Callithrix jacchus: one gene and its partners. The protein of the gene in region 4 interacts with the protein of the main gene of each other region in a biochemical or structural test. Links are inferred from orthologs where the notes say so. Each region holds a gene or a part of one and is shown on either strand. Other genes may lie near its edges. The genes, in order: SH3GL2, SNX9, ITSN1 and DNM2.

Region 1 (7,155 bases), on a different chromosome or scaffold from region 4:
AACAATTTGCTGGTGAGGGATGGCTTTCTTTGACAATTCCATGACTCACGTATTTGGGAAGGGACACTGTGAAAGCAAACGCTTTCTCCTCTTTGCATGGAGAAATGCAAAGAGACCTTCAGATGGCCCCTGGGTGATAGACAATATCTTCAGTGGGATGGTTTTTCTGTGATGTGGCTCACAGTCATATTCTAAGAAACCACAGCCTCCTGAGAACTGTGTAAACAGCAGTTCTGTGACTACTGGCTGGTCTCAGATGTTGTTTAAAAAGCACATGCCATGCCCACAGGCTAAGAGGATATCATCCATCACCATGACTCCTGTGGGAGCCCACAAGTCAACCAAAGACACTTGGTGGGGCTGGATGACGTGGACCACTGCGGCCTGCACTTGGGATGTGTTATAAGCAGCATTACCAAAGCAGTGGTTAACCGTAACTATCTGGGTCAAGAGGAGGTGAGCCAGCCAGCATAACATCCTAATGGGGCAGGGCAACCAGAATTTCCACATAATTGATGGGGAAGAAGCCTGAATGGCCATGCAGCATCCCCTCATACCAGTTCTCATCAATTTGGTTAGTGAGTGTGATGATATCGCCCTCTTTAAATCCCAACTCCCCTTCATTTTCAGGTTCAAAGTCGTACAGAGCTCGGCAGCAGGGCTGATCCATTTGGACACCTGAGAGTAAAAGCAGGAGAGAAGAGAACACAAGAGGATGAAGAGTATTTAACTCACAGAATCTGCTGCCTGCTGTACCCACCTGGCTTTCTGTTCCCCGTCTTTCCTCCCTCATTCCTCTTCCTGTTGAAGCTTCTTCTTGCTACCAGACCTCAGTGTCCACTGCACTGGGCATCTTGCCCGCTACTAGTCCTCAAAAATTTCCTCAAACCTTTGGAAGTTGCTATATATTCCTGTTTCTGTTTCCAGTATGAAAAATGGTCACATCTATTCTTGTGATACATACAAGAGTTCATTAAAGTCTGCCTTCATGATAATGCCCAGTAATAAGAGGCATAATGACTTCAGAAGAATAGAATGATGTAGGTTAATAACACAGCATGGCCAGAATTCTCTCACGTGAGCACTTTAAAATCTCTGCATATTTGAAAAAGTATGGTTACTTACATGGACAATGTTTTGCAACCTCAGAGTAATAGTTCAGTTATCACTCTTTAAAATAACAACCCTAGCCTCTGGAAACTGCTGTACTGTAGTAAAAACAGAATAATATAAAACACTGAGTTGAAATTCTTTTTGACCTTGCACAAGGTACTTCACTCTGAGTTTCAGTATCTGAAACTGGGTCTAACAGTAGGACTTACTACACATTACTATTGTGGCTATTAAATTAGCTTCTGAAAAAAAATCATAAAATGTATACTTGGTAAATTGTTGTATATATAAATATATGCAGTGCCCTGGAGCTATGGCATATAAAAAACAATGTACTCTACCTTGAGTAAAATAATGAAGGATGAACTCACATCTTAAGAGGGATCTTTCCAAATGACCCAATCCATTAATATTACACACACACACGTAGATAGAGACTCAGTCAAGCGCATATGGCTCCCATGCCATCTATGTGGCAGGAAAAGAAACAATGTAATTTATTTTTTGATTTTAGACAGAGAAGCAAATTAATGAGTCTCCAGATGAAAGGTGAAACATACGGTTGGTTTCCAGGCAGGGAGAATCACAGCTATACACAATTTCTATGACCAGTCCTGGTAGCCAGCTCCAGGAGCCATGGCTGCTTATGCCGTGCCTTGAAGCACTGAGCGCAAAGGACAGAGAGCGCCACCTGCTGGCTCAGACCTCACTTTTTTCCTTAATAAATCTCCTGAGAGCATGTTATAAAGTTTTCTACTTTAGAACATCAAGCACGGAGGATGCAGGAAAAATAAAAGAAAGCTGCCTGTCTCTAACATCCATATGCAGTATAAAACGGTTCCCACTTTGAACAAGCAAATGTGGAGGTTGAAAATGTCTCCAGCACAGGCTGTTGTGTAATCTATGTGTAGGGCATGGAGAACAAGTGTGACAAGGAAAAGAATACTCTATTAGGTATGCATTGATATTCCTGAGATTAAATGTCATCTAACTTTAATTATATCAAACTCAGTACAACAGCATGATAAACTGATCAGAGGTGAGGCATGGGAAAGAAAGCTAGCAAGTGTTGAAATTAAAAATATCTTCTTCTGCAAATATATTTAACCATATGTTTCTGTGACTCAAGAAATCCAGCTCATCAGCACATTTCTGGAGCCGCTTGCCGTCTGTGGGTTATATGTGAATGCATATGGGGACACGCTGCCCAGGGGTATTCATTGTTATGCAGGCTGGATTCAGAGAGAACAGGTAGGAAACAAAGATAACACTTGTGGCACCAAACTGACAAGGAAAGGTGATTTATGACCACAAAAGAGGGTCAGAATAAAATATGTTCATGTGTGCTGATGACTGAGGGAGAAAAAGGGATATACAAAGTTTTATAGAGAAGAATGAAAAGGAAGGAAAGAAAAAGGTCAATGAAAGAAGACAAAAGGAATTCTTTAACAGAGTTTCTACCTGACAAACCACCCCATAAGAAATATATTACTGCATATTTCCTATGCAGCCAGATTGGATTGTTCCTACAATTTCTGCAAAAGTGCCGATGGATATGCCAAGGCCTATGCAATAGGACCTGCAGTCTCAGCTCCTTACCTGAAGGTTTGGGCGTGCCTGTGTGGGAGAGACCCCCGTTGGGCTGAGTACTGTCTCCAGTTGGAAACTCCAGGCTCATTCGTGGTTTAGGTTGATATTCCCTTCTAGGCTGAGATGAAGCCTGTCTTATTCTGCAGTAAAAAGGAAAGTGGTGGGAGGGTTATGTAGCCAGTTAAGAAGTAAAAAGAAACATGAATATAAAGATTCAGGATATGCTTGGGTCACCCACCATTCTACCATGACAAAGTGTGGGAAATCAAAAAAGGACCCTTAGTTTTCTTCTATGTGTATATCTGAGATTTTGGTGATGTCTTTTTATGGGGCCATATCCTTACTATCTTCATTCTCTCTCTCAATCCCTCACTTCCTCTTTCATTTATTCGGAGTCCTTTATGCAAATACACACCGTACTAGGTAACAGGAACACAAAAATGAATTAAGACACAGATCTTGTACACAAAGGATAAATGTTTGAGGGGATGCATACCCTATTCTCCATGATATGACTACGATACATTGCATGCCTGTATTAAAATGTGCCATGTACCCCATAAATATATACACCTATGTATCCGCATTTTTTTAATTAAAAAAAAGACACAAACAGATTATGGTCTGTAAGGGAGGGAGAACATCAACAACTGATTACCATAAATTTTAGTAAGCACTGTCAGAGATATCTACAAAGTGCCACAGGAACACAGGGGTGTAGTTGGTGGTGAAGGTGGGAAGGAGACTACCTCTCCATGGGGAAGGTAGAGAAGGCTTAAGGAAAGAACTAAGATATACAGGAGTCGTTCCCAAATGAAAATGTGAAAGGAAGCTATTCCATGCAGAATATGAGAAGGTTTAGACAGAGGGAAGGAGGAAATGTAGTGTGTGCTCTGAAGAGAATGGGCAGTTTGAGATACAGGGAGGAAAAGATGAAAGAGGGAAGACAGAGGGAAATTGGAAAGGTACGGCCAATAAGTGTCTTCTGCCCACCCCTAAATATTTTCCACAGTCTCAGGTATTCAATAAACAAAGTATGTAAGAGATGTGCAAGGGAGAACGAGGGTTTAGGGTATGCTAACTGTAGACTGATACTGATTTTGAACATATTTCAGAGGGAAAAAAGGAAAGTGCTCCCTTCATGCGCAAGAGATATTAAAAGACACATAACATTTCTTTAGTATTTTGAAGTACATGGTTTTAAAACCTTTCTGGAGGCTTACATACATTTCCACAAGGGTGCACTGAAGGAAAATGCTCAATCAAACCACAAATCAAAGAAGATACTGAGACAAGATCAGTCAGAAGAAAACAGTGAATATAGGTGATATTTTCAACAGCGTGAAATTGTATGACTAGACTGTTCATCATGCATTCAGCCATGTGATCAGCTAGCTATGGGAGTTTAACCTGGCCATGTAATCTAAGAAAAAAGCCTGCTGAGTTGACCCTTTGAGGTATATGTGTTCAGCAAAATCATCCTGTTTAATCTGGCTAAATTAAAATAAAAAGCATATGATAACACAGGGCCACTGGTATGTAGCCACACAGGCTGTGCCCCAGGACCCCACAGAGCCGCACTCACATGGTTTCCTGCTGCTAACACCCTGCTGTGAGGTGCAACTAAGGAGGTGAAAGCAGCTGTCTCTGATGGCAGAGGACCTTCATCACCATTCAGAGAAACACGAGATGTAAAAATAAACAACCCCCTTTTTTTTTTTTTGAGACAGAGTTTCCTCTTGTTGCCCAGGCTGGGATGCAATGGTGTGATCTCGGCTCACTGCAACCTCTGCCTCCCGGGTTCAAGCGATTTTCCTGCCTCAGCCTCCAGAGTAGCTGGGATTACAGGCATATACCACCATGCCTAGCTAATTTTGTATTTTTAGTAGAGATAGGGTTTCTCCATGTTAGGCTGGTCTCAAACTCCTGACCTCAGGTGATCTGCCCATCTCAGCCTCCCCAAGTGCTGGGATTAAGAGCGTGAACCACCATGCCTAGTCAAAAAGAGCCTTTCAAACAGGTTATGGTTGGTTGTGAACTCCAGTCACACCACTGAGTAACCCTGAGCTAGTTCCTTCACCTCTCTTAGCCTCAGTTTACTCATCTGTTAGTCGAGGCTAAAAATACTTAGGTTACAGGGCTATTATAAGATTGATGATGATATGTATCCAGTACCCACACGGAACATCTGCCCAGCAAATGGCATCCATTATCAGCAGTAGCCTCCTGGTATCCCACCTGTGGCAGCCAAAATATAATCCAGGTATCGACCTCTCATAAACAGAAAATTAGATTAAACAGAACAATGCACAAAACAAAACAAAATCAAAACCAACAATACACAAGGTGCCTCTGCAGGATAAGCAGGAATTCTGGCAGATGTTTGTCTTCAAATGTATTCTATGATTTCCATTTCTTTCTACATCATTTTATAGCAAGAAAATGCAAATGTGAAATGCAGGGAACTAGAATACCTTTCTTCCAGTCTGACCGTGACTTGCTGCAGGATCTGGACTGCCTGCTTGTGGTATTCCAGCTGAGCTTGCACAAGTGCAGAGAGCTGGCTCACTTGTTCAATCTGCAGATGGATGGGAAAATCATGCCTTAGTTTCCACATCACCCTCCTTAAGCAGCCATTACTGTTTCATACATACAACAGAGCTGCCCTCAACACACAGCCCCTGCTTGATGGTACTGATGACTGTGTCATGAGCCAACTAGGACACATAGTTCTGCAGGTTTCAAATCGATCAAGGATAAGAAAGCATCCTTATGCTTAGAACCACACATATCAGTACCATGAGGAGAAGCAACATTAGGAATCCTCAGGAAGACCACATAGCTCTATAGAGTCTCATGCTTAGCCACCATCTTGTATTTGGGATTTGACTTCTTTTATTAATTTCCCATGGGAAAGAAGGTATATTGGCCAAAGGACTCTTTGTTCCCTATATTTTTCATGCTGTTAATATCAGTCCTGTTAATAAAAATGTGATAATATCTCATAAAATGCACCTGGAGAGATGATATGGTATGAGAGTCTTCTGTGCTCTCTGAGCTTCATCTATAATGTAAAAGGGTTAAATCAAGTGACATCTTGAGTTCATTCCTGCTCTAACATTCAAAGATTGATTTCTCTTGATTTTGTGTTTCACATTATGATCCAGCTGGGAAGCAGCCTCCAAGCCATCAGAGGCAGTGTTATCCCATAAATTTGGGGATGGGGAGGGGTGCTGGGTGGCAGGGAAGGAGCACTGTGATTTGAATCACCCCTCATGCCCACAGTATTTCTCTCAAGGAGTTAGGTGGACACAAGTTGTCTTACATAAACACAAACCTACACTGTCTCCAGGTGGTAGGAAAGTCTGGATATGTTCAAATGCCTCCTCTGCCACAGTCAGGAGTAGGCAATGTGATGGTTAATGTTAGCTGTCAACTTGACTAGATTAAGGGATCCCCAGATAGGTGGTAAAGCATTATTTCTGGGTGTCTGTGACAGTGTTTCCAGAGGAGACTGGCATTTACTCAGTAGGCTAAGGAAGAGCTGCCCTTCCCTATGCAGGTGGACACCATCCACTCATCTCAGGACTCAGAGAGAACAAAAAGCAGAGGAAAGGCAAATTTGTTATCTTTTTGTTCTAGGGAAGGGTACCCATATGCTCCTGCACTTGGATATCACATCTCTAGGTTTTCTGGCTTTTGGACACTGGGACTGGCACCAGTACTACTGATGCCCCGTCCTCCACAACTGAGTTCTCAGGCCTCTACTGAATTTATGCATAGATCATCAGAAATATTCTTTATCTTTCCACTGTTGGTAAGTGAGATGTCCCCGACTTAACAATTTGTAGGCTGTACAACAGTGCAAAAGTGATATGCACTCAGTAGAAACCATACTTCAATTACCCACACAACCACTCTGTTTTTGACTTTTAACACAGTATTCAATAAATTACATGATCTATTCAGGACTTTAACCCCATCATAAGTTAAGAAGCATCTGTACTTTAAGATTCATTAGCAGACAAGAATCTGGTTAAATCAAACTACAGAAAGGTGGAAAAAACTTTTCTATTTCTCAGTCTACTTCATCAAAATTATTTAAAGGACATAACTACTGAAGTTCTTATCACATAGTGTAATCAGATATTAATGCTTTAAGGGTTAGGCCCTTTAACACATTAATGCTGTGCCTTGATAAGATTAAATTGAAAACCACAGGAGAGTCACTTACATCCATCTCCAAGAGATTGAACATGCTTGACTCAGCAATTTCCTTAGACTCATCAAACTTCTCTAGAGCTTGACGAAGCTCTTCATCCGGAATCTTGCCTTGTCGTTTCTTCTTATAATCAAAATCCAGGCGTCGACCCTCCAACTTCTTTAGATGATGCTGAAAAAGGCAAGGGCAGGAATAAGCTTTGGAAGGGCTTATGGAGAAAGCTTATTTGC
Region 2 (7,155 bases), on a different chromosome or scaffold from region 4:
TGATCAGGACAGCCTCTTTCGGATAGTCGTGGCCTCTGGAGTGAGCTTGTTGAAAGGCAACTTTAATTTGGATGTAGAAATGCCAGCAGGTGGCTGTTGCTCGCTATGGCCAACTCAGATTGGTGTGCTCACTACTCATTGCCCCAGGGAACTAGGGGACATATTTTCAGGTCTGCCCTTCACTCTCTGGGGTGACAGAATGTTTCAGGTAACAGTCTAGCAAATAGAGCACCTGTTAACATCATACCTTCTGGAGTGAAACTGTTCTCTTTACCAGATCAAGCTTAATTAAATGCCTAATTGGCTATTGAACAATCTGATTACTTTAGGTTTCTTTTACCACAGTTTCCTAGCACCTGAAAGACAGGACAAGGTCAAAACTGGTAAATTAAGTAAATGTGGACGGGAGTTGTAAAATTCTTGAAAGACTTAAGACTCACGAACGTTTATATTCATGATTAGATTTCCTGGATTTGCAAAACCTGGCACGGAACAGTATTTGTTGGCCAAACAACTAGCAAAACCCAAAGAGAAAATTCCCATCATTGTAAGTTTATTCATTTTGTTTGCTTTCTTTCTGATTCAGCTCTTTCGTAATACTGTACCTTAAAGCTAAGTAGGTTATTCATCTTTTGGCAAGTATTTTAAATATATTTAATGCCCTAAGTAACTGATAAGATCTGTTAGTTTTGTAGTATCGAAGATAATTAGCGCAAATTAATGTCATTATGTTGTTTATCTTTCAGACTTTTAGTATTGAACAAACACTCATAATACATACTGTTTTGATCATTTTTTCTGAAGTATCTTGAAGTGTATTTTACATACTGTTTTTCTGCCAGCCCTTTATGTTTAATGAACTCAAGTCAAGTATTTACCTTTCTTCCCTCGTAAAGTACATGTATATTATTAGAATAAGGTGCCCTTTCAGGGATATTGGTAATAGTGTTTTTTGTCCAGTAAACCAGCTGTCAAATTGAGGTAAGGAGCTTCCAGATAGAAGCTGGGAGTTAAGGACATCATTAAGAATACCTGTCTTAAAATTATGTGGTTATCGTATAACGTGACGCAAGCCCTTTGGTTTCACTCCACATTTTGATCAGTGATAGATTTTCTGTCTAGGTGATATTTAGTTGTAGATTCCCAAATGAAACTCTGGAAAAGAGAACTGTAGCTATCTTCTGATCCTGTTGACTTAACCCTGTAACAATCAGATTGGGAACAGGGGGAAGCCTTGAGTGTTCTCACCCTGGACTTGGTCAAGGATAAGGAAACATCTGGTCTTACTCTGTAATCTTTGGAGACTTGATAAAATTGCAGGAAGAGTGTTAGATTCTCTAATTATTTGTCCCTACATCTTTGAATTCTTGAAACTCTTCAGACTCAAGAGTTGTATAACCAAGAGCCTTTGTTATACTTTTTCCCTCAAAGCAAATTTAGGGTAGCTAACTTCTGAGTACTTATATTAAAGATTTTTTTCCTGTTTTCTCTGGACTTAAAAAAAAAATGAACATGTACCATAATTCTTTTCATTACATTTAAAACTCTGCAAAGTCCAGGGCTCACAGCTCTGCCTCAGATTCTTTGTCTCAAGCATGCAGTGGTGGTACAGAGCTAAGGGTCCCAGCCTTTCATTGACCTGCAAGTTTTAGGTAGAACTGGACCCAGTAGTAGGCAGGTCTGCCTGTGTGGGCCTCTTACATGGAAAAAGCTGAGGAAAGCCACTGTGTCTTCAGGAGGCCCAGAGAAAGCAGAGACTCTCTTTGCTCTAAAAGTGCAGTAACCTTGCCCACTCATGAAACAGAACCCCATGAAACTGGGCCCTAGCCCAGCACAGTTGCCGCTCTCGGCCCACTCATGGAGGGAGTTCCCAAAAGTCATCTTCTCTGCAGCTTTCTGGTAGTTTCTTGGATCTGGGCTCTCTCTGAGGGAGTTATAGTCATTCTCAGAGATTTTTCTTTTTGGTCTCTTTTTAAACTACTCTTATCCTTGGACTAGGACACTTTTCTGACCTAACAGACTCCAGACTCTGGACTTTTATATCCCAACCCGCTTTTCCCATCTTCCACTTATATATGTATATATATGGCCAGGTGCAGTGGCTCACACCTGTAATTCCAGCACTTTGGGAGACTGAGCTGGGTAGATCACGAGGTCAGGAGTTCAAGACCAGCCTGGCCAAGATGGTGAAACTTTGTCTCTACTGAAAATAGAAAAATTAGCCAGGCATGGTGGTGGGTGCCTGTAATTCCAGCTACTCAGGAGGCTGAGGCAGAGAATTGCTTGAAAACGGGAAGTAGAGGTTGCAATGAGCCGAGATTGTGCCACTGCACTCCAGCCTGGGCAACAGAGTGAGACTCCATCAAAAAAAATGTGTGTGTGTATGTGTGTGTATATATGGACCACTTTTTTTTCTTATGTCTGCCTGGCCTTGCCTCTCTGAGGTCTCAACCTAAACAAATCTCTCTTCCTTCAGCCCAGTCTGTGTGATTTTTCTAATTTTCTTTTTACCTTCTTGCTGTACTTTTTCAAATCTGCAAGAATAAAACCTGTTCTACATATTATTTCATTCTCCTTGAATCTCCAAGTGAATTCCCTTCCTAGAAATAATGGTCCTTTTGCAGTTTATTCTATTCCTAGATTATGATTCAATTATTTTTCATTTTCAAGCCAAGAAAATAGGTAGCATTCTCAGTATAATAAGGACTTCTGTTGCTCTGAAATGTGCTTCGGTAAGATCTGCTGTCCTCCAGTCTGAATCTCTAGAATCAATCTGTCATTGTGATCAAAGCTTCTGAAATGAATGTGCCGGCAAACAGCTTGACTGTTGGTGACCCAGGGAGTGACTCCAGGAGCTGTACATGAGCTCCAGCATCCAGATTCCTCTGCAGCTGCCCCCATGGCCTTGGATGTTGTTTTAAATAAGATGAACAAAACCAGGTTTGCGACAGCAGACCTGTTGTCTCCTAGCAATGCCTAGCAGAAGTGATCCTCAGGCTCAAAACTTACACACAAGGTGTTTACATCCCCATTTGGAACTCGGCTGGTTTCCCTTCCTCACTTCCCACCGCAGCTAAAACCCCAGCTAACTAGTGGTAGCCTTGCCTGAATTTTTGAACTTTGGCCCTTGTCACAGATAGGAGAGAAGGCCAGTGGGAAAGGAATGGAGGCCTCCCCTCTTCGGGCAAGCCTTGCCCAGGTGGGCCTGATACCTGGGGTTGGAAGTGAGCCAGACAGCTGTGCATAGGCACAGCAGTCCGTGGAAAAAACAGCTCGCCTGGTTCTTGCTTTGAGACGTAGTACCTCCGCATGCCCCCACCGCCCCCTCCCATACTAGTAGTAAAACAATGGCTCTCAGGCTCTGGCCAGTCTGATGAATCACTTCTGTGAGCCAAAACAGTGCTACTCAAAGTATGGTGCAGAGACCAGTTGTCCATCTGAAAACTGCTTGTTCCTGATCCGCCGTGAGATGGGTACAGAACACGAGAGTACTTAGAAAACTTGAGGGCAATTTGGTACTGTTCAATAATCACAACGTGTAATGTTTCACCAAACTATTAGTTTGTGATAGATTGGAAAATTTTAAAAAGTAGTTCTTCATCACATGTAGCTTGAGACAGCTAGACTAGAAAGAGACAAAGAGACATTGTGTTGTAACCAGCACTCTCCTCGGGGGAGGGAAGCTGGTATCTCTTCTCCATGGGCTGAGCTACCCACATGGGAGCAGAGGGGTTGTCCCACAGGCGTGTTCTTTAAACATAATATCTAATAGGAACAGAAACCGTTGAACCGTTTGTTACTTCTCAAAGAGGAACAAGAATGGCCCCCCAGAGGCCTTGTCATTCTGAAAAGAATTACTTGCTGATGTACATCACTTGTATTTATTGTTTTTATTTTTCCATGTAACAAAATTACTTTTTTCTGGAACGATGCATAGGTTGGAGATTATGGCCCAATGTGGGTTTATCCTACCTCTACATTTGACTGTGTGGTAGCAGATCCCAGGAAAGGCTCCAAAATGTATGGTCTGAAGAGCTACATTGAATATCAGCTGACACCTACTGTAAGTGTCCACGTTATCAAAAGCAAAATCATGTTTGCATCACTGATTGCAGCTTGCTGTTTTCTTCATGTTCTGGAGTTGGCATTGATAACCTTTTCTCTTCCCCTCATTTTGTAGAACACTAATCGATCTGTAAACCACCGATATAAGCACTTTGACTGGTTATATGAGCGTCTCCTGGTTAAGTTTGGGTCAGCCATTCCAATCCCTTCGCTTCCAGACAAACAAGTCACAGGTGAGTGTGTTTAATGCTAAACTCAGGATGACAAATAAAAAGACTCCAGCTAGATTATCCTCCTGTAAGTCAGTGATAGCGTTTCACATCCTATAGAGCAGCAGGATGTAGGAGTTGGAAACAGTAACTAAATTCAGCTATGAAGAGAGAACCGTAACATTTAGTACATATATCTGGAAGTTGCCTAAACATCTAACAGGAACATTTAATGTACACATCAGAGGTCTTTGTATGTGTCTTAAATTCCAGCAGAGTCATTGTCTTCATGGCAGCACCCTTTCGTATAAAAGAAATATTTAAAATATTTAAAGATTTCACATTTAAAATATGTGAAAAGGGACACCTGAAAAAGTAGAAATGAATCATTCAAATAGCCTAAAAAGGAAATAAAAACATATGACCCACATACTGCAAATAGGTTATACAGATGAGCTGCATCATTTCATTAGATGAGTGAGCGCTGGCCGGAGAAGCCACGAGGCTGCTAAGTGTTAACGAAGGAAGAAGCTGCCCTATTTTCTACTTAGGTTATTACCCTCGCCCTTTTCTTATTTTTTAAAAGTGCCACATTCCTCCCCCCGACCCCAATCTTTTGGTAAGTAACCCATGTTGTTACTAGAGCACTTTGTGGGTATTCAGTAGAAAGGGTTTGTTTCTGTGTCTGGGAATTGTTTTTGTTTTTAATCTCCAGCCGGTAGACTCTGGTACTCTGTGTAGCCACTCAGGGACTCAGCATGCGTGTGTTAAAATAAAGGTTGTGAAGAAACAGACTTAAAGGTTAAGCAGAGTTTTAGTATATTGCAAGAAAATGTTCACATTCGTGAATTAGTGAAAATAGAAAAGAGTGGACCGAGAGTGAGAGGAGGTCTTAAAAGATCAGAGCCAGAGAGGCCTGTAAGAGATGTGAAGAGGCTCACCTGAACACAGGGAGAAGAAACATGGAGGGGTAAAGGAAGGGTTCTTTCCCCAAAGGTCAGGGAAGACCAGAGGCGGTGGAATTCTCACTGCACTGGCAAGAGTCGAGATAAATGGTTCAGAGAGGGCCTGCAACTTCACAGCCAGGTAGTGATGCCAGATGGAGACATGTCAGCACTGCGTGGGGTTCGCCCCACATGTGCCTGGACACTTCCCGAGTGCTTCTCGTCTGTCCTCACAGACATCTATCTTCACTTTACAGATGAGGAAAAGGAGATCCAGAGACATTAAACAGGTTCCCCTCTCTCTTGCCGAAAAAGGAATTTGAATCTGATCCCACAGCTTACTGTGTTCATGTTAACATGTGGACTGACTAATCTTTCCCTAGAATTAGTTTTCATACAATGAGTAAATTACTCTCCTTAAAACATTACTCTGTATTTTACTTTGTTTTATGTTTATTTTTCTCTGAAGTGTTTTGTGGAGATGGAAAGTTTTGTTTTTGATTTTGATGTTTTTGGAAAACTTCAAAAGTTTCAAATTGTCATAGCAAAATGGAAAATGAGGCTGCACTGCTGAGTAGAGAAACACATCCCCACAATCCCCTAGGTGACACTCGAGTGGTCCCTCATGGTGCTGGGGCCGTGGCTGCTGCTGCCTTCTGCCCAGAGGTTCTGACTGCACTCCTACTTCTAACCCAGCTCAGACACTCCCTGTACCTCCTTTTGTCATCCTTACTGCTTTCCATCAGCTTTCTTTTTAAAAACACAGCTTTCTTTCCATGAAAACTTCAGTTCTGCCTTTTAAAATTATAGTCTGTTTCCTTGAATTTTGTACTCTCCTTTATCAACTTAGCACAGTGTGTGCTTTATAGTGTTTAAATACATGGATTAATGGCCTATTTCAGGATTGTAGGAAATTCTCAATCTTTCAGATTTTAATACATTGTTTATTCTGAATTGGATAATTCAGTGCTTTTTTTAAAGCTTCAGAGAGTCATGGTTCTCCTTTCATACTAAGTTTTGTTTAAAAAAAAAAATAAGTTCAGGCATGCAGCCAGGGGAATAGCATAGAAAAGCAAGAAAGCAGCAGCCCCTCGGTGTAAAGAAGTTGAGCTTTGATTCACTGACTGGGATGTGAGCCAAGGAAGCCAAAGAGCACAGAAGGGCTCTATTCCCCTCTCACTTGTTTCTCTTGCCTGTGGTGCCTACAGGTCGTGATTATATAAGAACTCCCTCTAACTTCACTACGGGAGAAAAAAAAAGGAATGATTGGTAGATGATGCTTTGACATTGCTGTGGACCCAATAATTCCTCCATGAAAAATGTACAGTTAAGATTTCTTTGTTTTGATATTATTGTTCTTTATGGAATTAATATTGAATGAATATGGTTTTATTCCTGGTACCAAACTGATATATTTACATACTTAATGAAAACCTTAGTAAGGTTCATTGAAAACAGGGAAACAAAAGTTCCTCCTTTTTTTTAAATTCTCTGCAACTTGGTCTGAAAATCCTACCAAGCATAGAATTACATCTGAAGTCATAAGCTTAGAGATAAACCAGCTATGTCAGAAAAATTTTGACAAGAAGAATTTTTTAATAAAACAAGAATCGCTGAATTTCAACCAGTGATTGGGTAATGAACTCTGGGTGTAACTCACCTGGCCATAATGGGGAGTTCGTCATATCCCAGGTTCATGCTGGCTTTCCAGCCAGGAGGTGGATTGTCATCTTTCCAAGGCACGAGGCTTTGTTTCTGCTTAATCTACTCCTAGTAAATGCAGAGTTTGAAATGCTTTAGTATGCAGTGTCTAGACTCATTGTTCTGTTCAAGTCTACTTTTTAGATGATAAAAGTTTTTGATATGTAGGTGCATAATACCTGTGTTTTATTTATATATTTTTTTATTTTTTTATTTTGGAGACAGGGTCTCACTCT
Region 3 (7,798 bases), on a different chromosome or scaffold from region 4:
GTCGCCTTGAGCATACTACTCCTGGGAAATGTCTCTCCTTTCAAAACTAACCAAACTTACAGGAGTCACTGGCGTATGGTGCTTGTGGCTCCTAATTTAAAAAGTCAGTGACTACTAAGTTATAGATTAATTTGACAAGTAAACTTTTAAAAGATTGGCCTGGCCGGGCGCAATGGCTCACACCTGTAATCCCAGCACTTTGGGAGGCCAAAGCAGGTGGATCAGGAGTTCAGTCAGGATTTCAAAGCATGAGGTCAGGGGTTCAAGACCAGCCTGGCCAAAATGGTGAAACCCCGTCTCTAGTAAACATACAAAAAAATTAGCCAGGAATGGTGGTGGGTGTCTGTAATCCCAGCTACCTGGGAAGCTGAAGCAGAGAATTGCTTGAACCCTGGAGGCGGAGGTTGCAGTGAGCTGAGAGCATGCCACTGCATTCCAGCCTGGGCAACAGAGTGACACTCTGTCTCTTAAAAAAAAAAAAAAAAAAAAAAAAAAAAGATTGGCCTCACTGCAATGTAGTTTATGTATTCACTCAACAAACATTTAATTGAGTTCCGCCAGGCACTGTTTTAGGCCCTGGTGGTACAGTGGTGAACCAAAGCCTTTGCCTTCTGAAAGGTACATGACAGGTACAATTATGTAGCTGAAGGTCATGGTCAATTGTTTTTTATTAGCAACCTAAGGCATAAAACTTAACCTGCCACTTGAAAAACTTTCTATCCGGGCCAGGCGCAGTGGCTCACACCTGTAATCCCAGCACTTTGGGAGGCCAAGGTGGGCGGATTACGAGGTCAAGAGATAGAGACCATCCTGGCCAACACGGTGAAACACCATCTCTATTAAAAATACAAAAATTAGCTGAGCCTGGTGGTGCGCACCTGTAGTCCCAGCTACTCGGAAGGCTGAGGCAGGAGAATTGCTCGAATCTGGGAGGCAGAGGTTACAGTGACCCGAGATCACGCCACTGCACTCCAGCCTGGAAACGGAGCAAGACTGTCTCAAAAAAAAAAAAAAAAAAAAAAAAAAGAAAGAAAAAGAAAAACTTTCTATCCACTTCAGAAGCAGGTCTCAGGAGATGCTCAGCAAGAAGGAAGCCACTGGTTTCCAACTTCCCTATGCAAGAGAAATTCCTGGAGAAGGCAGTAAAAATACCAACTCCAGGGCTCCACCTCCAGCTGTCGGGTGAGGTGACAGAAACCTGTATTTATTTTTATGTTATTTATATACTTACTTACTTTTTGGACACAGGCACTCTGTTGTCCAGGCTAGAATGCAGTAGGACAATCATGGCTCACTGCAGCCTCGATCTCCTGGGCTCAAGTGAACCAGATCCTCCCACCCCAGAGTCTAGAAGAGCTGGGAATATAGGCACGAGTCATTATGCCCAGCGCATTTTTTTTTTTTTTTTAAATTATTTCAGAGGCAAGGTTTCTCTATGTTGTCCAAGGTGGTCTCAAATTCCTGGGCCCATGCTAGCCTCCTATTTCAGTCTCTCAAAATGTTGGGATTCCAGGCTTTAGCCACCATGCCCAAAACCTGTATTTTTAACAAGTGCCTCCATTAACACTGAGGTAAATGATCCGTGGTCCACACTTTGAGAAACCCAACCAGTAAGTGGAGCCATTCAGGAGGAAGTGATCATTCAGAAGGCAATAGCTCTATGGCAGAATAATCTGAGGTGTGTAATATAACCCCAACTCTCATGTCATTAATTCTCTACAATTCGCAAATTTTAGCAAATTAAAAAGAATAGAGTAGGGGAATTTGGATGAGGCACAGTGGCTCATCCCTGTAATCCCAGCTCTTTGGGAGGCCTAGTGTCTAGGTGGGAGAATCCTTTAAGGCAGGCTTTTTAGACCAGCCTGAGCAACATAGAGAGACCCTGTCTCTAGAAAAAAATTTGAAAACTAGCTGGGCATGGTGGCATGCACCTGTGGTCCCAGATACACCAGAAGCTGAGGCAGGAAGATCACTGAAGCCCAAAAGTTAGAGGCTGCAGTGTGCCATGATTGCGCCACTACACTCCAGCCTGAGTGACACAGCCAAACCCTGTCTTAAAAAAAAAAAGTAAAGGCATTTACCATCAGCTCCTCCTTCATCTCTTGCAGGAGCTTGATAGTTTGTCCCAAACTAGGCATTTGGGGAAAAGATAAACTTGAGCAGAGGTTCTACTACCAATATTAAAGATAAGCTTTAAGAAAAAGAAAATTGCTAGTCAACTGCCAAGAAAAAAAAATGCCAAGAGAGACAAACATTTCACAGAACTAACTTGCTACCCTATTTTATGCCCTATTTCACAATGCTTAGTATCTGAGCAATCCACAGGGTTCCAAAGTACATTAAAAATTTGTTCATCTCCTCTCTTACTCAGGCAGAATAATAATGGAGATTTCTGAAGGTACCATGCGCCTCAGCAATTTCAACAGATACATTCTTAGATAAAGAAATACCATTTTTTAAAAAAGATCATACTATCAGAAATGATCTTTAATGGATTACTTAAGGGTGTCTGAAGTAATTTTAACACCATCATCAAATTAGTGTCCCTCATTCCTTAATTTATATGACTTAAAAGTCCCTGGATTCTTTACAAATCCACCTGCAGAAAGGATTTTTCTTTCACATGTATGTATTTTTTAATGTTTTTACTAACAAGGAAGCTCCCATCAAAATAACGTTTCCAGCAAACCAGTAAAAGAAATTTTAAACAGAAACATATTTTGTTCTCAGAGATAAACTAAGAAATAATAACTATGAAGGGTGTTTAAGCTTCTGCACTCTCAGCCTTAAAGTCATCTAAAAACAAAGATATCCAAAAAATACATTCCATCTATTCATATTTTGGGGGTTTAGAGTGGCACCATGCAAACCAGCTGGCCTGCTGGGTCCTGGCCCCAGTTCCTGCCCTCACATCCTGTCCACTACATAATCCATGAGATCTCTGTGCCTTTCTCTTCATCCGTTCCACGGGATTAGCAAAACTGCCTCCCCGCTGACAGAACTGAGAATTTCTAGCGGCATTTGTTTGTATGGAATTTGCTGTTATTATCCACCCTCTCATTGGCTCTGTTTTTATTATCTGTACGTTTTGATCAAGAGGGAACAGCAAGAGAAGAATGCCAATAGACAGGCACAAAGAAACGCATCTGGCCGGAGCCTGCATATATTTAAATTTCCAGGTTGCTGCTGCCCTCAGAACAGCACGATGATGGCAAAGTTCTAGAGGAAACTTTCATATTGAAGAGGCTATAAAAATCTCCATCGCCTCCAACTCCACAGAGAAGAAGCTAATCTATTTCTTCCAAAGCAAAGCCTTCTCGAGTCTGAATCAAAACAAAAGATTGCCCATAGGAAATGTAATCTCCGAAGTTGTTTTCGAATCCCAAAGCAAGCAGAAGCGCAGGAAGGTGCGGCCGACTCCTCGCCGGTTTCCTTTCCTTGGGAATTCTGATGGCATTCCCTCGTGCAAGCAAGCGGCCGCAATTGTGCCTTGGGTCCACACCACAAAACCGTGTCGGTGCGTAAGAAGGGAAGGGACGCGGCAGACCCGGGGACGCGCTCACAGGGCGCGGGAGCCGCTCTCGGTTAAATGCCTTTAGGGGCGGCCCCGCGGCGCGCCCTGGGGCCGAACGGCATTGCCTGCCCTTCACTGACCCAGGATTCTGCAGGCTCTCGAGTGAGGAGCCGAGGAAGGAGCGGGGGCTCCAGGCAGAGGCGGCGCCGCTCCCGCCAGCGCGGGTCCCCGGGAGGCCAGCGGGAGGCGAGGCCGGGCCGCCCCGCGCCGGTGGCCGAGGGCAGCGAGGTCAGCCCGGGAAGAAGCGGCCGCCCGGGGTCTCCGCGGGAGGAGAGAGCCCGCTCGGCGACGGGGCCGCGGCGCCCATTCATCCCCACGCCGGTCCCGCGGCCGCCACGCCACGGCCCGCCGCGGCCCCCGGCCTCCCGGTGCGGGTCCGCCCGTCGCCCCGTCGCCCCGCCGCCCCGCCGCCGCCCCCGAGGACGGGAAGGACGAGGCGGAGGGGCGGCCGCTGCCGTCTCCCGGGCGCGCGGCGAGGAGCGAAGGGCGGCCGGGGGGACAAGCACCGGGCGCGGGACGGACGCCCCGGGCGGCCATCGCGCCGACCCCCGCGCCGACCCCCGCCCCCGCCGCCGCCCGCGATCCAGGCCGCCGCCGTGCAGCCCGCTCCTCACCTCATCTCCGGGCGGGTCCGCGCTACCGCCCCAGGGACAAATCAGTGCCGCTCACGCGCCGCGGGGAGGGACGCAGGAGCCGCAGCCCCGCAAATCATCCCCGCCCGCCTCTCCGTCCGTCCCGGAGCCCGCTCGGGGTTCTTCCTCGCGAGCCGCCGTACTACGGAGCAACCAAGCTGCTCTCCCTCCCCCGGCGCCTCCACTCCTCTCTACCTCCTTCTCTCCCTCCCTCGCTCCCTTGCTCCCGCCTATCTCCTCATCTCCCTCCGCTGCCTCCTCCGCCCCCATCCACCCCCCCGTCTCCGCCCACAAGTGGGTGGAAAAACCTCCTGCCAATCGGAAGAAGAGGCTCGCACCTTCTCACCGCCCCCTACCGCTGGCCCCACCCACCGAGCAAACCCAAGGAGGGAGAGCCAAAGAACTGTAAGACAACAGTGACAAGCCAAATGAGCCAATCAGCAGGCGTTGAGGGGGGGGGCGAGATTAGCACTCCTCTCCCCGCGACGTAGGCGAAACCGGGGATTTCTTGTCTGATGTTGCCCTATCGTGGTTTATGGAGATTTTGCTCCACGATTTCGGCGCATCTGCTCGTTCCAGTGCAAGACGCTAGATAGGATGCACTTACTAAGTTAATTATTGGAGGTTTTAAAGGAGAGAATAATGTGGAAAGGAAAAGAGAGGCGAAGCACCACCCAAAGCGGTTGGCAGGGGCAGTGGTTGGAATGAGGAAGGGTGTGGTCTTCAGTTAGAATTTGCATAAAACGGAACCCATGCAGGCGATTCCCACTTCGCCCATTTATTGGTAGCCCTTAGGGCTGTGCCTCGCCTCTTCCCCCGCCCCCGAGCGGAACCTGCCGGGAGATGTAGTTTCGAGACCGGTTGCCATGGCGTCCTCGACAGCCTCGCAAGTCCGACCCCGCCCTTCAGGAGTGACGAGCCACCTGACCAATGCGAGCGGGGGGCGGGCTCTCTGCGGAAGGACTTGAAGGTGGCGGTGGCGAAGGTGCAGGCCGTTGGGGCGGATCAGAGGCAGGTGAGCCCCAGGAAACGCGTTCTGTGTCTTGAGAAACGGGACTTTAAGCGAAAGGTGGAGAGATGCCCCACGAAACCGTGCAGCCCTGGGGAGGATGGTGGTTCGCGTCGAACCCCAACCGGAGACTCTTTCGGGCCCAGGCCTAGCTTAGCTGAGGCCGCTGAGGGGCGGGTAAGACTAGATTTGAGGGACAGTTTCCTGGACCTTGACGGGTTTTGATTGTAGGTCTTATCTCAGTTTGCATCTCCCTCTACTTTTATGGAGACCGAGGTCTGGGAGTGCCCTTCCACTCAATCTCCCAGGTTGAGTCTTTCTCCACTGTTGCTTGTTTCTAGAATTTGAGTGTGTTTTTCTTCCTCTGTTACTTCTTCTCAGCCACTTCTTTCTTCCTCATCCCTTTGCTGTATTCGGAAAGCAGTTAGTAATTATTCGCTGTATGTGGCTTTCGAGCCAGATCTGCCCTCTTCATTCCGCTAAACAGCGGAATAATCTGGAGCGAGATGTAAGCATTGCCTTGGAGTAGGTCTGGGTAGAAGCCAGAAACATCTGCGTTTCTAAGAAGCTCCCAGGTGTGGCTGTCCACGTTATGAGCAGCAAGGTTTTACCTAAACTCTGTCCAGTACAAATATACTGCGAGCCCCTTATGTCATTTTAAGTTTTGGGGTAGCTACATTTAAAAAGTGAAAAGAAACTTCGTGAAATTAATTTTAATTATATTCTTCATTTAGCCCAGTATATCCGAGACATTACTGTTTCATCGCTTCATCAAATATTTTTAAATTGAGATGTTACGTTCTTCGTATTAAATCTTCGAAATCTGATGTGTATTTTCCACTTCCAGCACATCTCAATTCCGACTAGACACAGTTGGAGTGCTCAGTAGCCACCTGTGCTAGTGGCTGCTACCGTAGCCCACTGCAGAAATTAAAAGGTGTGAAAAGTAAGGTTGCATTGACGAAACCCTTTGCAACTCTGTGAGATGGGCTTCAGAACTACTTTAGAGATTCTCTGTAATTGAAATATGCCCAACTTACAGAAATAATAGTTAAAATAGCCAACATTTCTGAAAGTATGATGTTGCCCTGAGTGCTTTGCATGTACTATTTAATCCTTATGTCAACCCTTTGAGATAACTGCTGTTATTATCTAAGATATGGGATCTCGGGCCCAGAAGGTTAAAATTAAGTAGCCCAAAGTCATACAGCTGATAAGTAGGAGAGCCAGGATTCAAACTCGAGGCAGTTTTGACTTCTAAATCTGATCCAGCAGCCACTGCAGTGTAAAATTACTACTTTTTATTACTGATTTCCCTTCACTGATGCCTCTGTTCCAGCTTATAGCAGGGGATAAGATGTTTAGATTTGAGAGAGTTCCCCATACAAGATCAAGCTGCCAGCCTTGTGCAGTGAAACTATACTCTTTTTGTAGACCCAATGATTAGTACTACATTGAGCTCAGGAGAATTTTAAGAGTAGAAGAGCAAAAATACACATATTAGGCGGGGCGTGGTGGCTCACACCTGTAATCTCAGCACTTTGGGAGGCCGAGGCAGGCGGATCACTTGAGGCCAGGAGTTCGAGACCAGCCTGACTAACATGGTGAAACCCTGTCTCTACTAAAAATACAAAAGTTAGCTGGGCATGGTGGTGCATGTCTGTAATCCCAGCTACTAAGGAGGCTGAGGCAGGAGAATTGCTTGAACCCGGGATGCAGAGGTTGCAGTGAACCGAAATCGTGACCACTACACTCTAGCCTGGGCAACACCCTGTCTCAAAAAAACAAAAAAAATGCATATATACATATGCTAAAATATGGTATTTTACAAAAAAATTTCTTCCATTGTATACATAGTAAAGACATGAAATTTTCTCTTGATTTTTGAATTAGTAAATATTTGATAATCAAAATTAGAATTCATATTTTTCATTTGAAGCAAGAAGGGGTTTCTCCATGATCCTCTAGTGAAATGGAAAATTAAGCATTTACAAGCTTTGGTAATGTTAGTAGGTAAAAAAGAAAATCAGTTAAATGGATTGCAGGGGAGCTAGTAACTGCGGTGTGGTAGAGTTGTGGAAGGATCCTTCAGTTGGTTATTTTTGTCATCACCAGGGACCTCCACCTGCATTGTCCCAGAGTCACATGCTTAAGGCAGCATAAAGGGAAGATTCATTCATCACACCATTTGCTCCCTTGTTCCTCAAGTAGTACAATATGGGAAAGTATGATGCTCATTCAAAAATATAAATGAAAGTTAAGTTTCTATTGTTCTGGATCATACTATATTAAATAACCCTACATTGTATAGTAACTGGACCAGAGATTTTCAGATCTTTGGGATAATGACCATCCCATGTCCCCAGCCCCCAAAGATATGGGTGGGGAATTGCTCATGTAAGAAACCCTAGACTCTTAAGTGAAAATGCAGTCTGAAAATCAACAGATAATAAAATAAAGCCCTCATGTGGGTGGGGAGGTCATCAGAAATTCTTTTTTTTTTTTTTTTTTTTGAAATGGAGTCTTGCTCTGGTGCCCAGGCTGGAGTGGAGTGGCACGATCTCAGCTCACTGCAACCTCCAC
Region 4 (6,789 bases):
TGAGAGAAGGTGCCCAGCATGAGGGATCCCCAGCTGCCTGGTAGTGCATCCCAGTGGGCAGAGGGCAAGCTGGGAGCCCTGGAGTCACCGGGCTCCCCTACTCTGTGACACTGAACAAGCCTCTTGGCCCGTCTGGGCCTGCTTCCCAGCCAGCCAAATGGGGATGAGGACAATTCCTCCAATCCAGCAGCTGGGCACATGGGGAGAGCTCACTGGGAGGCAGTGAGACTGGAGGAGAGACCCCAGGGTACAGGTAGTTGGGGTGGGGGGCAGGGGGTTGGCCTTACCTGGGCACTCCTGGGGGGATCCCTGGGGGGATCCGAACTGGCCGCGATGGGATTTGAGGTGGGGCCGGGAAGAGGTCATTGTTGGCAAACACGCTCTGTGGTCCAGGCCGGTACGGGATTGGGGGTGGTAAGGAGGAGGTTGCTGTCCCCATGGGCAGAGGAATCATGGGGGGCCCTGGAGTGGGACCCCTCACCGCTGGGGGCCGGCCTGGGGGGTGCACACTGGACACGGGTCGGCGCTGAGGAGTAGGGCTGTGAGGAAGGAAAGGGTGTGAACTACAGACGGAGTGGGAATCCCAGCCATGCCAATTGTGGCTGCCAGGGCCCAAGGCTGGGGGGACAGCGCAGGCGCAGTGGGATCCTCCCACCCCAACCTGAGCGCCAGACCCACCTTCCCTTTCTCCCGGCCCCCAAGGGCTTCTGTTGCCCTCTGACCTCGTCCCCGCAGCCCCAACGTGGCCAAGCACTTCCCACTCACACGGCTCCCTCAGGTCTCGGGCCCTGGGATCCACCCTCACAGCCAGACACTCCAGAGTCCTCCCAGATCAAGCCTTAAAGCTTTCAGGGGCCATGGAACACACAAGCCCTTCCGAGAAACCCAGATTCCCTCCTGGGCCCCAGCACCTGCCGCCTGCAGGCCTAGGTGCAATGTACTCCCCCTAACACCATGGCTCCCCAAGGGCTCTGTAGGGTGGCCCCGAGGTTCCCTGTGACTGCCTCAATGGCCTACACTCCATCCGACACCTCGGGGGCAGGGCAGGTCTGGCCACACCTTCCGTTTGCCTCACCAGAGCCTTCCACCCACCCTTCTCTGTCCTCCAGGAGGCTCATCTCTGTTCTGTGGCTGCTGCCCCTCCAGCCTCTTACCCTGGCTTCCATTTGGGCAGTGCCGATGGAAGGCACCAGCAGAGGGCAGACGGGGTGGATTTATTCATGGTTTCCAGCCCTAGAGCTCCAAGGCCGGCTGGCCCCCATTCCCCTTCTCTCCCTTCTCAGGCCTCAGCAAGGCAGCAGCTCCCACTGTGCCCAGCCTGGGGGCCGCCCCTTCTCCTGCCCACCCTTGGGCTGTGTCCCGTTTCCTGCCAGGACCCTGCAGGACACGCGGGGAGAACAAGAACCTGCAGGCTGCACGCTTGTGGGTAGGGGAACCAGGCTCCCGGACCTGTGGCTGCTGGGGCTCTGGAGCCAGGTGTCGTCGACGGGCGGGGGCACGGGCGTGGACACGGTGCTGGTGCTGATGTCGCCAATGATGTTGAGCGCCTCCTTGAGGGCGTGGTACATGCGCAGCATGTCGTCTCGCCGCTGCGCCTGGTCGGCTGACTCCTCCATGAGGCTGCTCTGGTCCGCCGAGGAGTACAGGTAGGCCAGCAGCTCATGGTGGATGAAGGCCTTTGTCTGCGGGCAGGGGTTGGGGAGGCTCAGGCTTCTGCATCACCCCAACCCAGAACCCATAATGACTGCTGGAAATACATCTCCCACAGGGCGAGGCCACCCCCAGACTTCTTTGAGAAATCTTGCTCTGTCTCCCAGGCTGGAGTATAGTGGCTCAATCTTGGCTCACTGCCTCCCAGGTTCAAGCAATTCTGCTGCCTCAGCCTCCTGAGTAGCTGGGACCACAGGCGCACACCACCATGTTTAGCTAGGTTTTGTAGATGGGGCTTTACCATGCGGCCCAGGCTGCTTATGAGATTCTTATTCAACTTACTCCTAGCATCTTGTCTCTTCTATTGATACTGTCTTAGCTTCTTATTTATTTCCTTAACCTTGGCAGAATAGTCCTGTTATACTTTTATTTGTTTATGTTTTTGTGACAGTCTCACTCTATCACCCAGGCTGCAGTGGGTGATACTGCAACCTGCATCTCCTGGGTTCAAGCAATTCTTATGCCTCAACTTTCCAAGTAGCTGAGACTATAGGTGTGCGCCACCACCCCATCTAATTTTTGTATTTTTAGTAGAGACAGGGTTTCACCATGTTGGTCAGGCTGGTCTCGAACTCCCAACCTCAGGTGATCCACCTGCCTTGGCCTCCCAAAGTGCTGGGATTACAGGCATGAGCCACTGCTCCAGCCCCAAAGCTGGTTTATAAAGCTTTTTGAGTGGCTAGTGCCATGCCAAAGGCATGACCCACAAATGCCCTGAACCCTCCAGCAGCCTGAGCTGGAGATCGTATCAGCACAGCTGCATTTCACAGAAGAGGAACTCAGAGCCCTGAGAGTCTCCAGGGAACCTGGGGCCAGGCAGGTGATGCCCATGAGGAAGACAGGCTGCGCCCCCAGCCCATCAGGACACAGCAGCTGCCCGACACGACCTGAAGGCAAGGTTGCAACCAGAGTGAACGTGCATTTGAATCCCACTTCCTACTCTCCTAAGGGACTTGGGGCAGGTTACTTTATCTCTCTGGCCTCCAGTTTTCTGTCTGTGAAATGGAGTGCAGTGGCACCACCATAGTTCCCCGCAGCCTCAACCTCCTGGGCTCAAGCGATCCTTCTGCCTCAGCCTCCCAAAGTGCCAGGACTACAAACTGGTGTGAGCCAGGGTGGCTGGCCTCCTTCTCATTTTTTTTTTTTTTTTGAGACGGAGTTTCGCTCTTTTTACCCAGTTGCTGGAGTGCAATGGTGCGATCTCGGCTCACCGCAACCTCTGACTCCTGGGTTCAAGCAATTTTCCTGCCTCAGCCTCCCGAGTAGCTGGGACTACAGGCACGCGCCACCATGCCCAGCTAATTTTTGTATTTTTAGTAGAGACGGGGTTTTACCATTTTGACCAGGATGGTCTCGACCTCTTGACCTTGTGATCCACCCGTCTCGGCCTCCCAAAGTGCTGGGATTATAGGTGTGAGCCACCGCGCCCGGCCTCATTTTTTTTTTTTTTTTTTTTGAGATGGAGTGTCACTCTGTTGCCGAGGCTGGAGTGCAAAGGCATGATCTCGGCTCACTGCAACCTCTGCCTCCCAGGTTCGAGCCACTGTCCTGCCTTAGCTTCCTGAGTAGCTGGATTACAGGTGCCCATCACCATGGAGAAGATAGCATTTCTCCCTCGTGCAGTTAGTCTGAGGCCGGCATAAAGTAATTGAGAGAAGGTGCAGATCTGCGGTATTCGTTCCAGTTAGTGGACTCAATGGGACCATGGACCCAGTATGGCTCGGAAGCCCTAGGGTTTCCCAAAGAGACTGGCCGTGCAGATTCTGGTGTTTAAAGGGTAGTGACTTGTTCTGATTTGTTGCTGTTGCTGTTGTTGGAGACAAGGTCTTACTCTGTTGCTCGGGCTGGAGTGCAGTGGCATGACCACAGCTCACTGCAGCCTCAACCTCCTGGGCTCAAGTGATCCTCTCGCCTCAGCCTCCCAAAGTGCTACAAACAGGTGTGAGCCAGGATGCCTGACCTCCTTCTCATCTTTTTTTTTTTTTGAGATGGAGTCTCACTCTGTTGCCTAGGCTGGAATGCAATGGCACGATTTCAGTTGACTGCAACCTCCGCCTCCCGGGTTCAAGTGATTCTCCTGCCTCAGCTTCCCAAGTAGCTGAGATTACAGGCATGTGCCACCATGCCTGGCTACTTTTTGTATTTTTAGTACAGATGGGGTTTTGCCTTGCTGGCCAGACTGGTCTTGAACTGACCTCAAGTGATCCACCCGCCTCAGCCTCCCAAAGTGCTGGGACTAAGCGTGAGCCCCACGCCCGGCCGCCTCCGTCTCACTTTCAGTGTTCCACTCACATTGTTGATCATGAGGTGCATGATGGTCTTTGGCATGAGGTCGCGGATGGACTTGTTGATGATGGCCACGTACGAGTCCACCAGGTTGCGAATGGTCTCCACCTGCCGCTCCAGCTGGGGGTCCATGGAGAAGGTGTTCTCCTGGGCCCCGTCCTCGTTTTCTGCCTGCAAGTGGGAGGTGAGGTGCTTAGGGGTGACCTTGGCCTGGGGCGAGTCCTGGTTCTCTGGTAACCATCTGCCCTACTGTCCCATCGATAACTGACCTCATGCTGGCCCCTGAGAGCCCCGCTGGTACCAGGCAGACTTGCTTGCCCCAGGCCAGAGCTGCCCAAACAATGGGGTGATCCTGGCTGATGCTGGGGTGAATCCCCTCACCTGGGCATTGGAACGTGGTTGTTTTTTGTTGTTGTTTGTTTTTTGATAGTTTTTCTATGTCACTCAGGCTGCAGTGCAGTGGCACAAACACAGCTCACTGCAGCCTCAACCTCCTGGGGGGCGGTCAAGTGATCCTCACACCTCAGCCCCCTGGAGTAGCTGGGATTACAGAGGTACACTGCCATGCCTGGGTATGCTTTGTATTTTTTGGAGAGACAGGGTTTTACAACATTGCCCAGGCTGTTCTTGAACTCCTGGGCTCAAACGATCTGCCCGTATCAGTCTCCCACAGTGCTGGGATTACAGGCGTGAGCCACTGCGCCCGACCTTGGGACATTTTATTTTATTTTTAAGATGAAGTCCTGCTCTGTCGCCCAGGCTGGAGTGCAATGGCATTATCTCAGCTCACTGCAACCTCCGCCTCCTGGGTACAAGTGATTCTCCTGCCTCAGCCTCCTGAGTAACAGGACTGCAGGCATGCGCCACCATGCCTGGCTAATTTTTGCAGTTTTAGTAGAGTTGGGGTTTCACCATGTTGGTCAGGGTGATCTCAAACTCCTGAGCTCAAGTGATCTGCTCGCCTAGGCCTCCCAAAGTGCTGGGATTACAGGTGTGAGCCACCCACTGTGCCCAGCTGAGACATTTTAATATTGGGGTCAAGGGTAGCCATGTTCACTCTACCTCAAGGATGGAAGGGGAAAAGAGAACAAAGCAGGTGGAATCCCATCCCCTGCGTGCCGCCGTCATTGGCTTCAGTGAGAGAACTTTCTGGGCCCTGATGACAAAGTGCCCCAGTTTCTCCTTTGCTTGCTCAAGTGGGCATCTGCTACATGACTTCAGAGAATCCTGGCTAACGTGGCCTGGAAATGATCAGTCTTGGGGAAAGCCAGCCCTGTTTCCTCTCTTGGGTGGGGGCTGCCGGGCCTGAGGTGTGCCAGCTGTGCAGGGCAGCTCCTCACCTGGTCCTTCTCGGGGTAGACACCGGCTCGGAGGAAGGAGGCCTTCCAGCTGTCGACGTCCTCCTGGGAGTCACAGGCCAGCTCGATCTGCCGCAGGTCCTTGTAGACATTTCTGCGGGGGTGGGGGGGGCATGCTTGACCCTGACCATGGGCCTGGCAGACCGCCCAGAGGCATGGGCTCTGGGGGTCCTTCTAACTGATTAGGAACCCAATCCTAACCCAGAGGTGGGCATGTGTCTCCCAACACCCACTGTGGCTGGGGAGCTCCCAGATAGCCCAGAGCAGCGCTGTCCATCAGAACTTTATCTGCACTTTTGTGTGTTTTTTTTTAAAAAAGAAAGTTGGTCAGGCACGGTGGCTCAAACCTGTAATCCCAGCACTTTGGGAGGCCGAGGTGGACGGATCACCTGATGTCAGGAGTTTGAGACCAGGCTGGCCAATATGGTAAAACCCCGTCAATACTAAAACACAAAAAAGTAGCTGGGCGTGGTGGCAGGCGCCTGTAATCCCAGCTACTCAGGAGGCTGAGGCAGAATTGCTTGAACCTGGGAGGTGGAGGTTGCAGTCAGTTAAGATCATACCCTGCTCTCCAGCCTGGGCAACAGAGTGAGACTCTGTCTCAAAAACAAAACAAAACGAAAAAATTTTTGTAAGGGTTAGGCGTGGTGGCTCACACCTGTAATCCCAGCACTTTGGAAGGCTGAGGCAGGGGATTCGCTTGAGCTCAGGAGTTAGAGACCAGCCTGAGCAACACATGAAGACCCTGTGTCTACAGAAGATACAAAAATTAGCTGGGTGTGGTGACATGCACCTATAGTCCCAGCTACTTGGGAGGCTGACGTGGGAGGGTCACTTGAGCATGGGAGGTGGAGGCTGCAGTGAGCCAAGAACACACTGTGCACTTCAGCCTGGGTGCTAGAGCGAAACCCTGTCTCCCCCATCCTCAATTTTTTTTTTTTTTTGAGACGGAATTTCGCTGTTACCCAGGCTGGAGTGCAATGGCACCATCTCGGCTCACCACATCCTCCGCCTCCTGGGTTCAGGCAATTCTCCTGCCTCAGCCTCCTGACTAGCTGGGATTACAGGCATGCGCCACCATGCTCAGCTAATTTTTTTATATTTTTAGTAGAGACGGGGTTTCACCTATGTTGACCAGGATGGTCTCGATCTCTTGACCTCGTGATCCACCCGCCTCGGCCTCCCAAAGTGCTGGGATTACAGGCATGAGCCACCGCGCCCGGCCCTCAATTTTTTTTTTAGACAGAGTCTTGCTCTATCGCCAGGCTGGAGTGCAGTGGAGCGATCTCGGATCACTGCAGCCTCCGACTCCATGGTTCAAGTGATCCTCCTGCCTCTGCCTCCTGAGTAGCTGGGATTACAGGCACATGCCACCAAACCCAGCTAATTTTTTGTATTTTTAGTAGAGATGGGGGTTTCACCATATTGGCCAGGC

What was found.
Region 1: the proteins of DNM2 (region 4) and SH3GL2 interact in a biophysical measurement, tested with the Homo sapiens proteins (2 studies listed by BioGRID and IntAct, with this or other methods). The link is inferred for Callithrix jacchus from reciprocal best matches to the Homo sapiens genes DNM2 and SH3GL2.
Region 2: the proteins of DNM2 (region 4) and SNX9 form a complex in vitro, tested with the Homo sapiens proteins (2 studies listed by BioGRID and IntAct, with this or other methods). The link is inferred for Callithrix jacchus from reciprocal best matches to the Homo sapiens genes DNM2 and SNX9.
Region 3: the proteins of DNM2 (region 4) and ITSN1 form a complex in vitro, tested with the Homo sapiens proteins (2 studies listed by BioGRID and IntAct, with this or other methods). The link is inferred for Callithrix jacchus from reciprocal best matches to the Homo sapiens genes DNM2 and ITSN1.

What each region holds. Positions count from the first base shown.
Region 1 is NC_133502.1:124,387,771-124,394,925, reverse strand, and holds part of SH3GL2 (endophilin-A1), read right to left. Parts: intron 7,097-7,155; coding exon 6,938-7,096; intron 5,282-6,937; coding exon 5,178-5,281; intron 2,844-5,177; coding exon 2,713-2,843; intron 679-2,712; coding exon 479-678; 3' UTR 1-478. UniProt on the Homo sapiens protein: Implicated in synaptic vesicle endocytosis. May recruit other proteins to membranes with high curvature. Required for BDNF-dependent dendrite outgrowth.
Region 2 is NC_133505.1:164,734,549-164,741,703, forward strand, and holds part of SNX9 (sorting nexin-9), read left to right. Parts: intron 1-462; coding exon 463-547; intron 548-3,937; coding exon 3,938-4,063; intron 4,064-4,180; coding exon 4,181-4,298; intron 4,299-7,155. UniProt on the Homo sapiens protein: Involved in endocytosis and intracellular vesicle trafficking, both during interphase and at the end of mitosis. Required for efficient progress through mitosis and cytokinesis. Required for normal formation of the cleavage furrow at the end of mitosis.
Region 3 is NC_133522.1:39,727,840-39,735,637, reverse strand, and holds the start of ITSN1 (intersectin-1), read right to left. Parts: upstream 4,400-7,798; 5' UTR 4,189-4,399; intron 1-4,188. UniProt on the Homo sapiens protein: Adapter protein that provides a link between the endocytic membrane traffic and the actin assembly machinery. Acts as a guanine nucleotide exchange factor (GEF) for CDC42, and thereby stimulates actin nucleation mediated by WASL and the ARP2/3 complex.
Region 4 is NC_133523.1:9,989,975-9,996,763, reverse strand, and holds part of DNM2 (dynamin-2), read right to left. Parts: intron 5,449-6,789; coding exon 5,337-5,448; intron 4,168-5,336; coding exon 4,003-4,167; intron 1,683-4,002; coding exon 1,450-1,682; intron 540-1,449; coding exon 288-539; intron 1-287. UniProt on the Homo sapiens protein: Catalyzes the hydrolysis of GTP and utilizes this energy to mediate vesicle scission at plasma membrane during endocytosis and filament remodeling at many actin structures during organization of the actin cytoskeleton.